3 linked regions of the Oryctolagus cuniculus genome follow. The protein of the gene in region 1 binds, or shares a complex with, the protein of each later gene. Links are inferred from orthologs where the notes say so. Each region holds a gene or a part of one and is shown on either strand. Other genes may lie near its edges. The genes, in order: NOTCH1, DLL4 and POGLUT1.

The links.
Region 2: the proteins of NOTCH1 (region 1) and DLL4 are in contact, whole or in part, in a crystal structure (PDB 4XLW), measured with the Rattus norvegicus proteins. The link is inferred for Oryctolagus cuniculus from reciprocal best matches to the Homo sapiens genes NOTCH1 and DLL4. Residues at the interface, in NP_001099191.1 of Rattus norvegicus: Glu415, Leu418, Ala420, Asn421, Pro422, Glu424, His425, Phe436, Pro447, Arg448, Glu450, Ile451, Asp452, Leu468, Asp469, Gln470, Ile471, Ile477; in XP_006234827.1 of Rattus norvegicus: His65, Thr76, Phe77, Asn109, Phe110, Thr111, Pro113, Tyr180, Ser186, Arg187, Leu188, Lys190, Arg192, His195, Phe196, Tyr199, Lys216, Tyr217, Asp219.
Region 3: the proteins of NOTCH1 (region 1) and POGLUT1 are in contact, whole or in part, in a crystal structure (PDB 5UB5), measured with the Homo sapiens proteins. The link is inferred for Oryctolagus cuniculus from reciprocal best matches to the Homo sapiens genes NOTCH1 and POGLUT1. Residues at the interface, in NP_060087.3 of Homo sapiens: Asn454, Glu455, Cys456, Val457, Asn459, Pro460, Cys461, Gln462, Asn463, Asp464, Ala465, Cys467, Gly472, Glu473, Phe474, Val485, His486; in NP_689518.1 of Homo sapiens: Met103, Phe104, Pro105, Ser106, Arg107, Asp133, Gly170, Pro171, Ala172, Val173, Trp174, Pro178, Thr179, Gly180, Thr214, Asn239, Gln240, Ala241, Val274.

The regions. Positions count from the first base shown.
Region 1 is NC_091432.1:236,551,521-236,556,471, forward strand, and holds the start of NOTCH1 (neurogenic locus notch homolog protein 1), read left to right. Parts: upstream 1-1,785; 5' UTR 1,786-1,969; coding exon 1,970-2,030; intron 2,031-3,166; coding exon 3,167-3,245; intron 3,246-4,951. UniProt on the Homo sapiens protein: Functions as a receptor for membrane-bound ligands Jagged-1 (JAG1), Jagged-2 (JAG2) and Delta-1 (DLL1) to regulate cell-fate determination.
Region 2 is NC_091443.1:64,066,938-64,070,882, forward strand, and holds the end of DLL4 (delta-like protein 4), read left to right. Parts: intron 1-162; coding exon 163-865; intron 866-1,336; coding exon 1,337-1,445; intron 1,446-1,882; coding exon 1,883-1,888; 3' UTR 1,889-2,866; downstream 2,867-3,945. UniProt on the Homo sapiens protein: Involved in the Notch signaling pathway as Notch ligand. Activates NOTCH1 and NOTCH4. Involved in angiogenesis; negatively regulates endothelial cell proliferation and migration and angiogenic sprouting. Essential for retinal progenitor proliferation.
Region 3 is NC_091435.1:75,996,620-76,000,379, forward strand, and holds part of POGLUT1 (protein O-glucosyltransferase 1), read left to right. Parts: intron 1-1,462; coding exon 1,463-1,521; intron 1,522-2,913; coding exon 2,914-3,081; intron 3,082-3,760. UniProt on the Homo sapiens protein: Dual specificity glycosyltransferase that catalyzes the transfer of glucose and xylose from UDP-glucose and UDP-xylose, respectively, to a serine residue found in the consensus sequence of C-X-S-X-P-C.

The sequences.
Region 1 (4,951 bases):
TGAGCACACACAGACGTGCACCCGGCGCCGAGCGAGGACGCCTTTACCTTCCACGTCCACAGAGCTGCGCTCAGCTCTGACCGGGCCTGGCCTCTCCCCTCACACCAGGCCAGTGCCAGCCCGGCCACCCCAGCCCTGACGAGGGCGCCCCGGCGTGTCTGAAGGGGAGGAAGTGACCGATGCACCCCGCCTCGGTGGTGCCGGCTCCCAGGGCAGCCTGGGGAACGGCAGGCCCTTCCATTCAGCGGCTTCCCACAGAGGAGGCCTGGCTGCCCCGCACGCCCTGCCCAGGTGTCGGCTCCCAACCCCCCCAGCACGGGGTCACCAAGCAGCCTGCACTGGCAGAGGGGGTCTCCAGGCCCTGCCACCAGGACGTGGCCCTGGTTGGTCTGGACCGCTTTCCTCAGCCCCCACCCCCTGGCTCCGTAAAGAGGGGCTCGGGGGTCGCAGAGCCTCATTCCTGCGTGGATGAGGGCCCAGCCCCTGCCACGTGGGTGCCCCAGCCCCAGGCCCTGGGGGCCTCCCTCCTACTGCACACCCAGGGCCCTGTCTGTGGTCTGCCACCTTCTTCCCTGCCGGCCGAGGGCAGAGGCTGAGAGTGGAGGTGCTGGCCGCAGCGCTGGGGAGGACCCCAGGCCAGGGCTCCCCTCCTTCCGTTCAGGCCGCCCCAGGGATCAGGGACTCTGCAGGGCTCCAGCGGAAGCCCCGGCCCCCTCCCCACCCCGGCGGGAGCAGGGGCGGCGCCGGGTGCGGACCGCGCAGCCCGGCTCTTCCTTCTATGGGCTGCAGGGCTCTGTTACATAAACATGGCGGCGCTGCCTCCGGGGCGCTGACCCCGAGGTGCTACCCCAGCTCTGGCTCTGGGAAGGCAGGAGCGGGCCCCCCGCCGCAGAGCCGCCGCGTCTCCCGGAGACAGGTGTGCCCAGAGAAGGCAGCGGGTCAGGTGCGCAGAGCGCCAGCCTGCGTGCGCCCCCCTGGGCCAGGGCTGCCCCGCTCGGCTCCCAGCTTTCTGCGCCCCCCTGCCCCGGCTGCGGCGTGAACTGGCCAAGGCAGGCACACTTGGGACGCGCTAGCACTGCCGCGCGGAAAACCGGCCGCCCGACGGGACACGTGGGAGCAGCTGTGCGCGTGACAGCCCCGGGTCTCCCTGCACCACCGCGTGCCCGCGCCAGGCCCTGGCCCCTCTCTCCAGGGGCCCCGGCGCCATCAGCCCTCAAGGTCATCGTGACCGGGGTTGGGGGTGGGGGGTCTGGGCGCCATCCTCCGGGCTGTTACCCTCGAGGCCCCGGAGGGCGCAGCCGCCGGGCCAACCACGCAGCCAGGCTTCGCACCGAGCCCCGCGCCAGGCCTCGCTCCGGCCCAGCTCCGAGGGCCCAGCGCCCCGCCGGACCGAGCTGCCCCGCCACGCCCGCGCCGCCTCGGCTATTGAGATGCAAATCGCGCCCCCCTGTCGCCGCGCGAGGCGACGGCCCGGGCGGATCCTTCCGCAGCCCCGGCTCAAACTTTCGGCCTCCGAAAACTTGAGAGCGAGAAGTAGTCCCCGGGCGCCCGCTGCCGCCCGCCCCGCGCCGCCGCGGCCCCCCGCCGCCCAGCGCCCGGCTCCGGACGCGCGCCCCAGGCCGCGGGGCGCGGGGCCGCCCGGGGCGCGCGCGCAGGGACGCGCGGCCCGCGACGGGGCGCGGGGTGCGGAGGGATCGCGGGGCGGGGCCGGCCGGGGCGGGGCGGGGGGCGGCTCTCCCGGCGGGGGCGGAGCGCGGCGCGGCCCCGCGCCTCACTCGTGCCTCGGCCGCGGGCGGGAGCGCAGGGGCGCGGGCGCTGCGGAGGGGCGAGCGGCCGCCGAGCCGGCCCGGACACTGCGAGAGCGCAGCGCGCCGCCGGCCGGGAGGGAGCGGGACCCGCCCGCCGCACCGTCGGGCGCGCGTGTGCGTGGGAGCCGCCGCCCGGGGCAGCGGGCAGCCGACGGGCAGGCATGCGGCCGCTGCCGGCGCCCCTGCTCTGCCTGGCGCTGCTGCCCGCGCTGGCCGCGAGAGGTAGGCGCCCGCCCGCCGCGGCCCGCAACTCCCCGCGTTCCCCGGAAACTTCGCGCGCGGGCGCGCGTGGGGGATCGGGCCCTGGAGGGGCAGGGAGCGGCGGCCCGGCCCCTGCCGCTCGCCCCTCGTCGGGGCGCCGCTCCGCGGTCGGGGTCGGAGCCGGGCGTGGGGCCGTGGGGGCCCCGCGGGGCGCGCCGCCGGCCGCCCGCCGCTTCTCGGTTTGAGTCGAGTCCCTCTGGCTTCCTGTTGCTTGTCGGGGCCGCTTGTGTTCTCTGCTGCGCCCGGATGTCGGGGCGCGGGGCGCGGGGTCCGGGGCCGCGCGGCGCGTGTCGCGCAGCCCGGCTCGCGGGCGGGTGCGTGGGGGTGGGAGATGCGCCGAGGCCTCCCCCGTGCCTGGCGGGACTGGAGTTTTCGGTCGCTCTCCGCAGCTGAAGTTTGGAAACCGCGGGGGCGGCGCGCGGGCTGGGGCGCTGGTTCCCGCGCGCTCCCGTCGGGAACTCCGGGGCGTGAGAATGACCTGTCCGGTACCCCCTCCCAAAAAGTGGGTTCCAGCTCACACCCGTCCCGTGGCAGCCGCGCGCGGGGGTCGCGCGCGCGCGCTCCGCAGCCGCCTTCCGGGGGCCGTGGCGGGGCTGCCCCTGGAGACGCCCGCCGCGGGGGCAGGTATTGGGTGTCGGCGGAGGCGGGGCGGCCCCGGGCGCTGTCCCCGTGCCCCGGAGGCGGCCCCGGCGACAATGGGCCGCTCTGATTCCGCGCCTGGCGCTTTGTCGGCGGGCGGGGCGGCGGGGGCGCAGCTGTCGCATTTTCCCACGAGTGGGGGCTGCCCTGGCAGATCGCGTTCGCACGAGACAATCTGGGTGGCTGGACGGGGCCCCCGCCCTCCAGGGCTCCCCAGCACCCAGCTTGGGGGGGGCTCCAGCTGCCCCTCCCCACCAGTTCACCTGCTGGCCTCGCCCACCTGTTCCCAGGCCTGGCCACCTCTGGGCACAGACCCTGGGCCAGAGCACTGAAGCCCCCGGGTTTCATCGGGGCGGGCTGTGGCCCCGGCCGCTCCCCACCCCACGCTCATGCCCCGGAATCGAGGGGTGGGCCCTCGGGAAGCCCCGGTAACCACCCTCTCTCCCCCACTTCCCCAGGCCCGAGATGCTCCCAGCCCGGGGAGAGCTGCATGAATGGTGGCAGGTGTGAAGTGGCCAACGGCACGGAGGCCTGCGTGTGAGTACCGCCGCGTCGCGCCGGGGACCTGTTGCCTTGGTGGGGAGCCGAGCCCCTGCCTGCTGCGGCCCGGAACACTGGGCCATTGTCTTCTGGGGATAGCCCAGAAGGCCGGCTGGGTCACGTGCTGACTTTTATTGGACCCAGCCTGGCAATTACTTAATCACCAGCAATTATGCCGCACGCGGGTCTGGCCGCTGGAGGTCTCAGTGTGCTTCGGGGTCGAGGGGCGACCCCTGGCGCCCCTTGATTCCTGAAGACCCTGGGACACGGTGGGTGTGGGGGGGTGCTGTGTGTCCTCCCCCACTGTGTCACCCGGGGAGCCGCCTCCCCTGCGCAGGAAACAGCTCCAAACAAAACCCACCCCCTGCTCGGCCCAGAGCCCTCCCTGGGCCCGGGGTGCCGGGCTGCACCCAGCTCCTGGGGCTGTGGGATGTGGGGCCGCCTGCGGGGAGTTTGCTTCCTGTCTCGGCATCTGCAGCCTCTGACCTCCCAGACTCGGGGTGGCGTGGGCGGGCGGAGGCCGGGATGTCTTGGAATGTGCTCCTCCTCGGCCGCCCGCCTGCCCGGGAGCCCCCCGTCGGCCCCCGGCCGGCGCCCGTCAAGTTCAGCTCGTCCCTGACCAGAATAACGAAGAGGCGTCTGGAACCGGAGGGAGTTCCCCAGCCGTGGGCGCCCTCGTTCCAACCGCCCAAGGGCCCATTGCCGTGGCAACCCCGGCGGCTCCTGCCGCCCCGGTGCCCGGCCTGTGGGCCGGCAGCCCCCCCCACGCCGAAGCCAATTAGGCCGTCTGCGTGCAGTTTAATGGACAAAGCGGATTGTGTCTTTGTCAGGCACTAATGAATGCATGCCGGCTCCTCTACCCCCTGGCTTTTGGGGCTGCCCTGCCCGTGCAGAAGCCTCGCGGACGCTGGCGGCCCTAAATCTCGTTTCCTTTCATTCAGGGGCCGACAGCTGGGCTTCAGCGGCCGCGCAGCCGCTATTGTTGGGGAGGCGGATTAATGCCGAGTGATTAATTACGCCCTTCGCTGCCTCGGCGCTCGGCGCTCCGCGGGCCAGGGCTGGGAACCTTCCTGGGAGGGCGGTGCCGGGCGCGCGCCCCCCGAGTCCCCTGCCCGGGCCCGGCGGGAAGCCTGCCTCAGTTGGGCCTGGCGCTCAGCCGAGCTCTGCCACAGAGGCCTCATTGTGCCCACGCCACCCCCCAGAGCCAATTGGAAGGCAGGACGGAAGCGCCGTGGGCAGAGGCCCCCACCCCTGGGCAGCAGGGCCTCCGAGGGACGCAGGTCCGGGGACTCTCACTGCCCCCCCCCCCCCGTGGGCCGCCCTGCCTCCCGGTTCCCGCCCAGCCTTCTCAGAAGGCCCCGGAAGGTCTGTCTAGGAGTTGGCCAGAGCCCACGGGGGGCCCATGGGGGCCCAGGGGAGAATCCCACCCTCTTCCCAAGGAGGCAGCTGGCATGGGGCCTCCCGAGCCCGCCGGCCCCATCCCGGCTCCGTGCTTGGAAAGTTCTGGACTCATGGTGCTGACTCCCCTGCAGAGGGCATGGGAACGGATCAGGCGGCGGCTCGCCTGTCCCCGGTGAATCACCTCTTCCCATCCCGGGGAGAAGGAGCCGTCCCGGGCGGCCGGTCAGGTGGTTGCGGGGCTCAGAGGCGGAAGGAGCCATGTCCGTTGGCGCCGTCCCAGGAGGTGCAGCCCCGAGACTGTG
Region 2 (3,945 bases), on another chromosome or scaffold:
AGAGTCACTCTGTGCTCTGGGTCCTGGCGGTATAGTGGGCTCTGTCAGCGCTGCCTGTGCTCACAGAGCCAGAAGGACCTAGTTTGTCCCCACGATGGGCCCCCATCCCTGCACCGGCGACCTGTAGGCTGTTGCTGACCCGCGCCCCGTGTGTTCTCACAGGGGGCCAGTGCCTGAACCGAGGCCCAAGCCACATGTGCCGCTGCCGTCCCGGATTCACAGGCACCCACTGTGAGCTCCATATCCGCGACTGTGCCCGCAGCCCTTGCACCCACGGTGGCACTTGCCATGACCTGGAGAATGGATTTGTGTGCACCTGCCCGGCCGGATTCTCTGGTCGGCGCTGCGAGGTGCAGGCACCCGGAGATGCCTGTGCCTCTGGGCCTTGTTTCAACGGGGCCACCTGCTACACCGGCCTCTCCCCGGACAGCTTCGTCTGCAACTGCCCCTACGGCTTCGTGGGCAGCCGCTGCGAGTTCCCTGTGGGCCTGCCGCCCAGCTTCCCCTGGGTGGCTGTTTCCCTGGGCGTGGGGCTGGTCGTAGTGCTGGTGCTGCTGGGCATGGTGGCGGTGGCTGTACGGCAGCTGCGGCTCCGGCGGCCCGAGGATGGTGGCAGGGAGGCCATGAACAACTTGTCGGACTTCCAAAAGGACAACCTGATCCCCGCTGCCCAGCTCAAGAACACAAACCAGAAGAAGGAGCTGGAAGTGGACTGTGGCCTGGACAAGTCCAACTGTGGCAAACAGCAGAACCACACATTGGACTATAACCTGGCCCCTGGGCCCCTGGGCCGGGGCACCATGCCTGGGAAGTATCTACACAGCGACAAGAGCTTAGGAGAGAAGGTGCCACTGCGGTTACACAGGTGAGCTACCCGGAAGGCCTTGGGCCTGGCCCTGCATCCCGACAGAGGCCTGCCTGGGCTCCTCCCAGGGAGTGGGGAGCTGGCCCAGGCCCTTGGCTATTGATAGGCGTCTCCTCCAACACGATTTCTGCCAGGGACCCTTTGCCCTCCCTCCCCATTTGTGGGCTCATTCACAGATGTCAGGTGTGCACAGGCTGTCCTGACTCCCATCCCTCCGTGGCTGTGGCTTCCAGTGGCAGTGCCACGCTTTCCCAGGCCTGAGACCTAAGGTTGGGGAGTCCTGGGGCTCTCCTAGGGGCCTCCTCCCACCCACCTCCCTGGTGAGGCCAGCTCTGCTCAAGCCCCTTGGTCTTGCCCAGTGCCGCTTCTGCAAGCGCCCCAGCTCTCTAGGGTCCGGGCTCCCCGATCCCCACCCCAGCCTCTCCCCACCCCCACCCTCTGCTCACAGCGCCCCGTCTTGTGTTCCCTCAGTGAAAAGCCAGAGTGTCGGATATCTGCGATATGCCCCCCCAGGGACTCCATGTACCAGTCTGTGTGTTTGATATCAGAAGAGAGGAACGAGTGTGTTATTGCCACAGAGGTGAGTGCTGGGCCCGCCATCCCTCCTGCCCTGTGGGGGCTGGGGGCAGTGTCCAGTCACTGTGGACCTCGTGGGCCACTCCTGGAGGCTGGGTCAGAATGCCTCCTGGGCAGGCTTTCGGGTCCCTGCTGGCTTTGTTGCCATGGAGGGGGTGAAACAGGATACATAAGCCAGGGCTGGCCTGGTCTCTCCCACTGTGTTGGCACTGTGCTGGGCAGCCGTGGCACTAGGCCAGCTCCCTGGTGCTGCTTCCCAGCCGCTGGTGGCTGAGGGGGGTTGCCTTGGGTCCTCCTGCCCCTTCCCACTGGCCTCCTCCATCAGACCACCCCATGAGCACCAGCTCCGCAGTTCAGGTGTGGCGTGTCAGGGTGGGCAGCCCCACACTGCCTTCAGCCCTGCCTGCCCTTGGCTCACGCCTACCTTCTGACGCTCCCCAGGTATAAGGCAGGGGCCTACCCGGGACAGCCTGGCTTCGGCCCAGCAGCTGGACTTTCCTTCTGCGTTGTTTACATTGCATCCTGGATGGGGCGCTTTAAATATGCAACGTGCTGCTCTCAGGAGGAGGAAGAATGGTGCGAACCCGACAGACTGTGACCTTGCCAAGAGATGCAATGCCCTTGAACACCTGGGGGCGTCTGTCTGGCATCAGATTGGCAGCTGCGCCAGCCAGGGGAACAGAGAGGAGAGGAGCGGTGCCACTGGGACCTGCCCTGCCAGCCAGGGCTCTGGCCTGCTTTCCAGAGAGTGGTGGTGGTTCTGTGGGGGCCTGGAGCTGCCATGGCCTGCACTGGCATTGGTGTTTCCAAAAGTGCCTTCGCCCAGGCTCCGTGGAGACAGCCGGGCCCAAATCAGAGAGGACAGAGGGGGCCAGAAAGCCATCAGGTGTGGCTTTTGGCAAGGGTAGCCCTGCAGGTGAGGCGAGGGCCCGCAGGGAGAGGAGCACTTTCTGCCCCTGCCTCCTAGCAGCGCACGTGGGCCCTTCTTGGACTGCCCCCCAGCTCCTCTCCCTGGCCAGCCCCCTGGGCAAGAACGTTGGTAAGTCTTACCTGGCACCCATTGCCCTCTGCCCCAGCTGCCTCTGAGCTCCTGGGAGCGACAGGCAGAGGACCTGGCCCTTGTGCCCGTCGGGCACCAGGCCTTGCTGGGGTGCTCAGGGCAATGATGGTGGACATTCCACTGGGGGAGAGATGGGACCCTTCCCTCCCTCGAACCTGGGCTCTGACCATGCCCACTACTGCCCCCAGACAACCCTAGAAGCCCATCTTCAGAAATCAATAATATGAGTTTTTATTTTTTTTGTAGTTTATTTTGGAGTCTAGTATTTCGGTAATTTAAGAATCAGAAGCACTGACCTTTCTACATTTTATAACGTTATTTTGTATATCATGTGTATTTATAACATGGAAGAGATGTGTACAGGAGCTTATGACTGCTTGGGTCCTGTCTTTGTGATGGCAGAATGGGAACCCCCTCCCCACCTTCCGACCCCGAAGAATTCTAAGGCCCCTTCTCGCCCTGCTGCTCCGTGCCCTGCAGGAGCCCCTGGGGCCTGAGCATGCACCTGGGTATGGCCTGCTACACCCCGGCCCTTGCCTCCTTCCAGTGCCTGAGCAGCCCACACTCACCTCTCCCGTGGCCAGCCTCGGCCAGCACTCCTTGCCTGCTGGCTGTGGGCCTGCCCTTTCTGCTGTCACCATCCCCCGGGGCGATGCCCCCCCACCTGAGTCTGTCCTCCCTTCCTCTCCAAGAGCCTTACATGTGCTCATGATACCCCTCAGTCCTGCTCGTTTTTTCCTTTGTCAGACAATGGGGTCTCAACCGTGGCTCCTCCTGCCCTCGGGAGGGTGTAGTGGACAGGGGGCCCTGCTCTTTCTTGGCTGGCTCGGCAGGGCATTGGCCCCAGGAGGGTGGAGCAGGAGGGGGTTGGCCTTGGGTTTGCCCTTAACAGCTGCGGTGGCAGCAGGAGTTTATTAAGGAATGCAGGGATGGGGAGATGCAGGCTAGGTTCCTCTGGCTGGGGTGCTAAGGAGGGAGCTTCCAGTCTCTGCTTCATGCCTGGCTTCCTCCGCTGTGCAGGATAGTCCCTAGGGTGCCACCGCCCTCTCTTCACAACCACAAACATCCCCCATGGAGAGCCACATGATGAAAAAAATGAGCCATTGACAAAAAGTTGAGCAGATGCTCCCAGCTCCCCTCCCACCCAGTGGGCTCCAAGTGCAGGCAGCCCTCCTGACCTTGCTCTTCTCCTTGACAAGGTGCACCTGCACCCGCACCTGCACCCGCACGCGTATGCCAGGGACCCAGGAGCATGCTCACACTCCACACTCCACGCCCCACTCCTCGCTCCCTGTTCCCTGCGCTGCACACACAGGGTATCAAACAGGAAAGCATTCAGGGAACCGTTCCCACAGCCTGAGCCGGCAGCAGGGGGAAGAACAACACGACCTCACTCTTCCTGCCCAAAATGAAACAGGAAAGCAGCTCCCGGGCCCTGGGGGGC
Region 3 (3,760 bases), on another chromosome or scaffold:
AGGCTTTGAAAAAAAGCTCTAAATTTCCTGGGGGAAAACTGGAGGTATGTTATTATTTGGTATGGCTTTAATCAAACTGGAGCAAATGAATTTAAGAAACTTTATTGAATAATACAAGTAAAAAAAGTATTTTTTTATTAATTTGTTTATTTGAAAATCAGAGTTACACAGAGAAGGAGAGGCAAAGAAAGAAAGGTCTTCCATCCGATGGTTCACTCCCCAGTTGGCCACAACGGCCAGAGCTGCGTCGATCCGAAGCCAGGAGCCAGGAGCTTCCTCTGGGTCTCCCACATGGGTACAGAGGCCCAAGGGCTTGGGCCATTCTCCACTGCTTTCCCAGGCCATAGCAGAGAGCTGGATCAGAAGTGGAGCAGCTGGGACTCGAACCGGCGCCCATATGGGATGCTGGCACTGGAGGCGCCGGCTCCCCCCAAAAAGATGTATTCATTCCGCACACAAGTTGTTAGCATCTACCAGAAGCAACCAGACTTCCTCCCCTGCTAAAGTGGATGGAATGTACCTGGGGGTCTCACATTCAAATACTCTAGGGCAGCAGGTGATAGAAAAATATGAGCGAGGGGCCACCATTGTGGCATAGCAGGTAAAGCTGGTGCCCCACATGGGCACTGGTTCGTGTCCCAGCTGCCCTACTTCCAATCCAGCTCCCTGCTAAAAAGCCTGAGAAAAGCAGCGGAAGATGGCCCTAGTTTCTTGGATCCCTGCTATCCACATAGGAGACCTGGAAACATTCCCGGCTTCAGCCTGGCCCAGCCCTGGCCCCTGCTGCTGTGAAGTAACCAGCAGATGGAAGCTCTCTGTCTCTCCCTTTCTGTCTGTACTTCTGACTTTGAAATAAATTATCTTTAAAAAAAAAAAAGAAAAGAAAAGAAAGGTATGAGCAGGAGACAGCACAAACAACTCCAGGCGCTTGCTGCTGGGTGGGAGTAGGAGCCCCGTTTGCCAGACCTTTCTTGGCTTTTTTCATCCAGGAAAAGTTGGAAATGTGAATTTTTGCAAGAAATAGCTTGCCACCTATAAATGTTAGTAATGGTCTGAATAATTTTTAACTACTTTGCATGCCCAGCAAAATTTGTGCGTGGCCTCTTCTCAACCCACCAGCCAGACTCGTGCCCTTCTGGGTGTGATTTAGAGTGAAATGTGCTACAGGCTGTGACCTCTTAGTTCAAAGGAGGGCAGCATGGCGTCAGGTGAACTTAAACTCTAGAACCAAATAGACCTAGGTTAAAATCTCTGCTTCTTCTGCTTAGGGCCATATGACCTTAAGCAACCCTCTCAACTTCTTGAAGTTTTGGGTTCTTCGTTTATATAATGGGTATAATAATGCGTCCCGAGTGTGTTTACTATGAGGCTGAGTGAGGTACTTAGATGAAGTGTTCCTCAGTGCTTGCTGCCCAGTGATTGCCAGTAAATATCAATATTAAGTATTTATTTTCTATTACAGGATACCTTGGGGAAGCCAGCTGCTAAGGATGTTCATCTTGTAGATCACTGCAAATACAAGTAAGACTTCTAGTTTCTGTATTGCCTTTGAAATAGCTTCACTTTGGGGGAAGATTTTCATATCAAGGCCTATTTGGGGTATATGAAAGTTGTATTAATTTATTTAGCTGGCTTTTTTAAAAGACTTATTTATTTTTATTTGAAAGGCAAAGTTAGAGAGAGGCAAAGGCAGAGAGACAGAGAGAGAGCGATCTAGCTTCCATCCACTGGTTCACTCCCCAACTGGCCTCAATGGCCAGGGCTGGGCCAGGTGGAAGCCAGGAGGCAGGAGCTTCTTCTGAGTCTCTCATATGGGTGCAGGGACCCAAATACTTTGTCCATTTTCTGCTGCTTTTCCAGGCTCATTAGCGGGGAGCCGGATCAGAAGTGGAGCAGCTGAGACTCAAACCGGCACCTATATGGGATGTCGGCACTGCAGGGAGCAGCTTTACCCACTATGCCACAGCGCTGGTGCTCTATTTAGTTGCCTTTTATTGAAGGCCTACTGTGCACCGACCTGAGTACTGTAGGGACTGAGAGGAATGAAACGTGGTTGGTCTCTGCTTCTAGAAGCCTTCCAGTCATTAAAGTGATGGGATTACTTCTCCCCACGTCCTACCAACTGGTAGTTGAAGTCCTATCTCAGATTAATAAATATTATAATTAAATGCCAAGACTGAAAATTTTGGATGAAGAGGTTAAGCCAGGTCTGGAGGAGGGTAGCGAGGAGGTTCAGAGGTATGAATGCCAATTGCACACCCAGTGGGAACTATAGGATAAAAGCAACGCTGGTGGGAGACAGCGGAACATGCTTGAGTAATGCTGCAAAGAAAATGTTGTTTCTGAAGATAGCTTTTTCCATGGGGCATTTCTTTGATGATTGACCAGATCAGCTCATTCTCTACAGACTGTAGAAGAGGGTAATGTCCAGGAAACCAGGGGCACCTCTGAGCACATGGAGTACACTAGAGGGAAACCAGGCTTTGGGGGCTATGACTGGTTGCAGACATTTGGCCTAGAGAAGCTTTTGGAATTTTATTCGCTCTTGATTTTGATGTATATCACTGAACATTGCTATATTTTCTCAAATATGTCCCAAATCTGTCATTCCTTCTGACCGTCATATTCCCTTGTCTCCTTGTATCCCACCACCCAACGAGCTGTTTACAGAAAGTACCCTTGTTTTATCTTCACCCATCATTCCCAGAACAACCTGCAGCCCCAGCCCTAGAAAAGCAAGGGGTTTATGGAAGCCCCACAGGGACATACTGCTTGTCCTTGAAAACTGAAAATGGAAAGGGAAGGGAGAGGAATGGTAAAAGGAGAGAATGGGAGGAAGGAATATGAAAAAAGGCCATATTTCTGACAGCAGGCACAGAATATCAAATTTATTTTGCTCTTTCTTTTCCCCAGGTATCTGTTTAATTTTCGGGGGGTAGCTGCAAGTTTTCGATTCAAACACCTCTTCCTGTGTGGTTCACTTGTTTTCCATGTTGGTGAAGAGTGGCTCGAATTCTTCTATCCACAACTGAAGCCATGGGTGCACTATATCCCAGTGAAAACAGACCTCTCCAATGTCCAGTAAGCTGCTATCCCTAAGACAGAACTCCTAATGACCCTGCAACCCACCCCCACTTTCCAGTGATTTCAGGCTTTTAGTCCAGATGAGTTTCTCTATTGAAAGCTTTATTTCTCTTCTATTGATTGCATCTATGAGGACACTTCCAAAAGTTCATGGAAAAGTGGAGCTGAAAGATAAGTTTATTGAAGGAAGTGCTTGCTTAGCAGTTAAAATGCCTGTCTCCCATATTGGAGTAACTGGATTTGATTCCTGATTGTGGCTTCTGGCTCCTGACAGTATAGACCCTAGGAGGCAGTGGTGATGGCTTAAATAATTGGATTCTTTCTGTCTATGTGGGAGACTTGGATTGAATTCCTACCTCCCACCTTTAGCCCCAGCCCAGCCCTTCCCATTGTGGGCAGTTGGAGAGTGAACGCAAGGATGGGCTTTTTCTCTCTGCTGCAAATAAGTTATTTTATTGCATGAAAATTTTGAAATCCATGTATCGTTTTTTAATAATACACATTTATATTTTTCCATGAACCTTTTAACCCCTCCTATACTCTTAGATTATTATTCAAGTAGGCTGTAAGAGATATTTAATTTGAAACAGTACTCTGATGCTAGTTCCAAACCTGACAGACAGTATGGAGTAACAAAGCTTCCAACTCTTGAAGATTAAATGTAGGGGTATTTGAT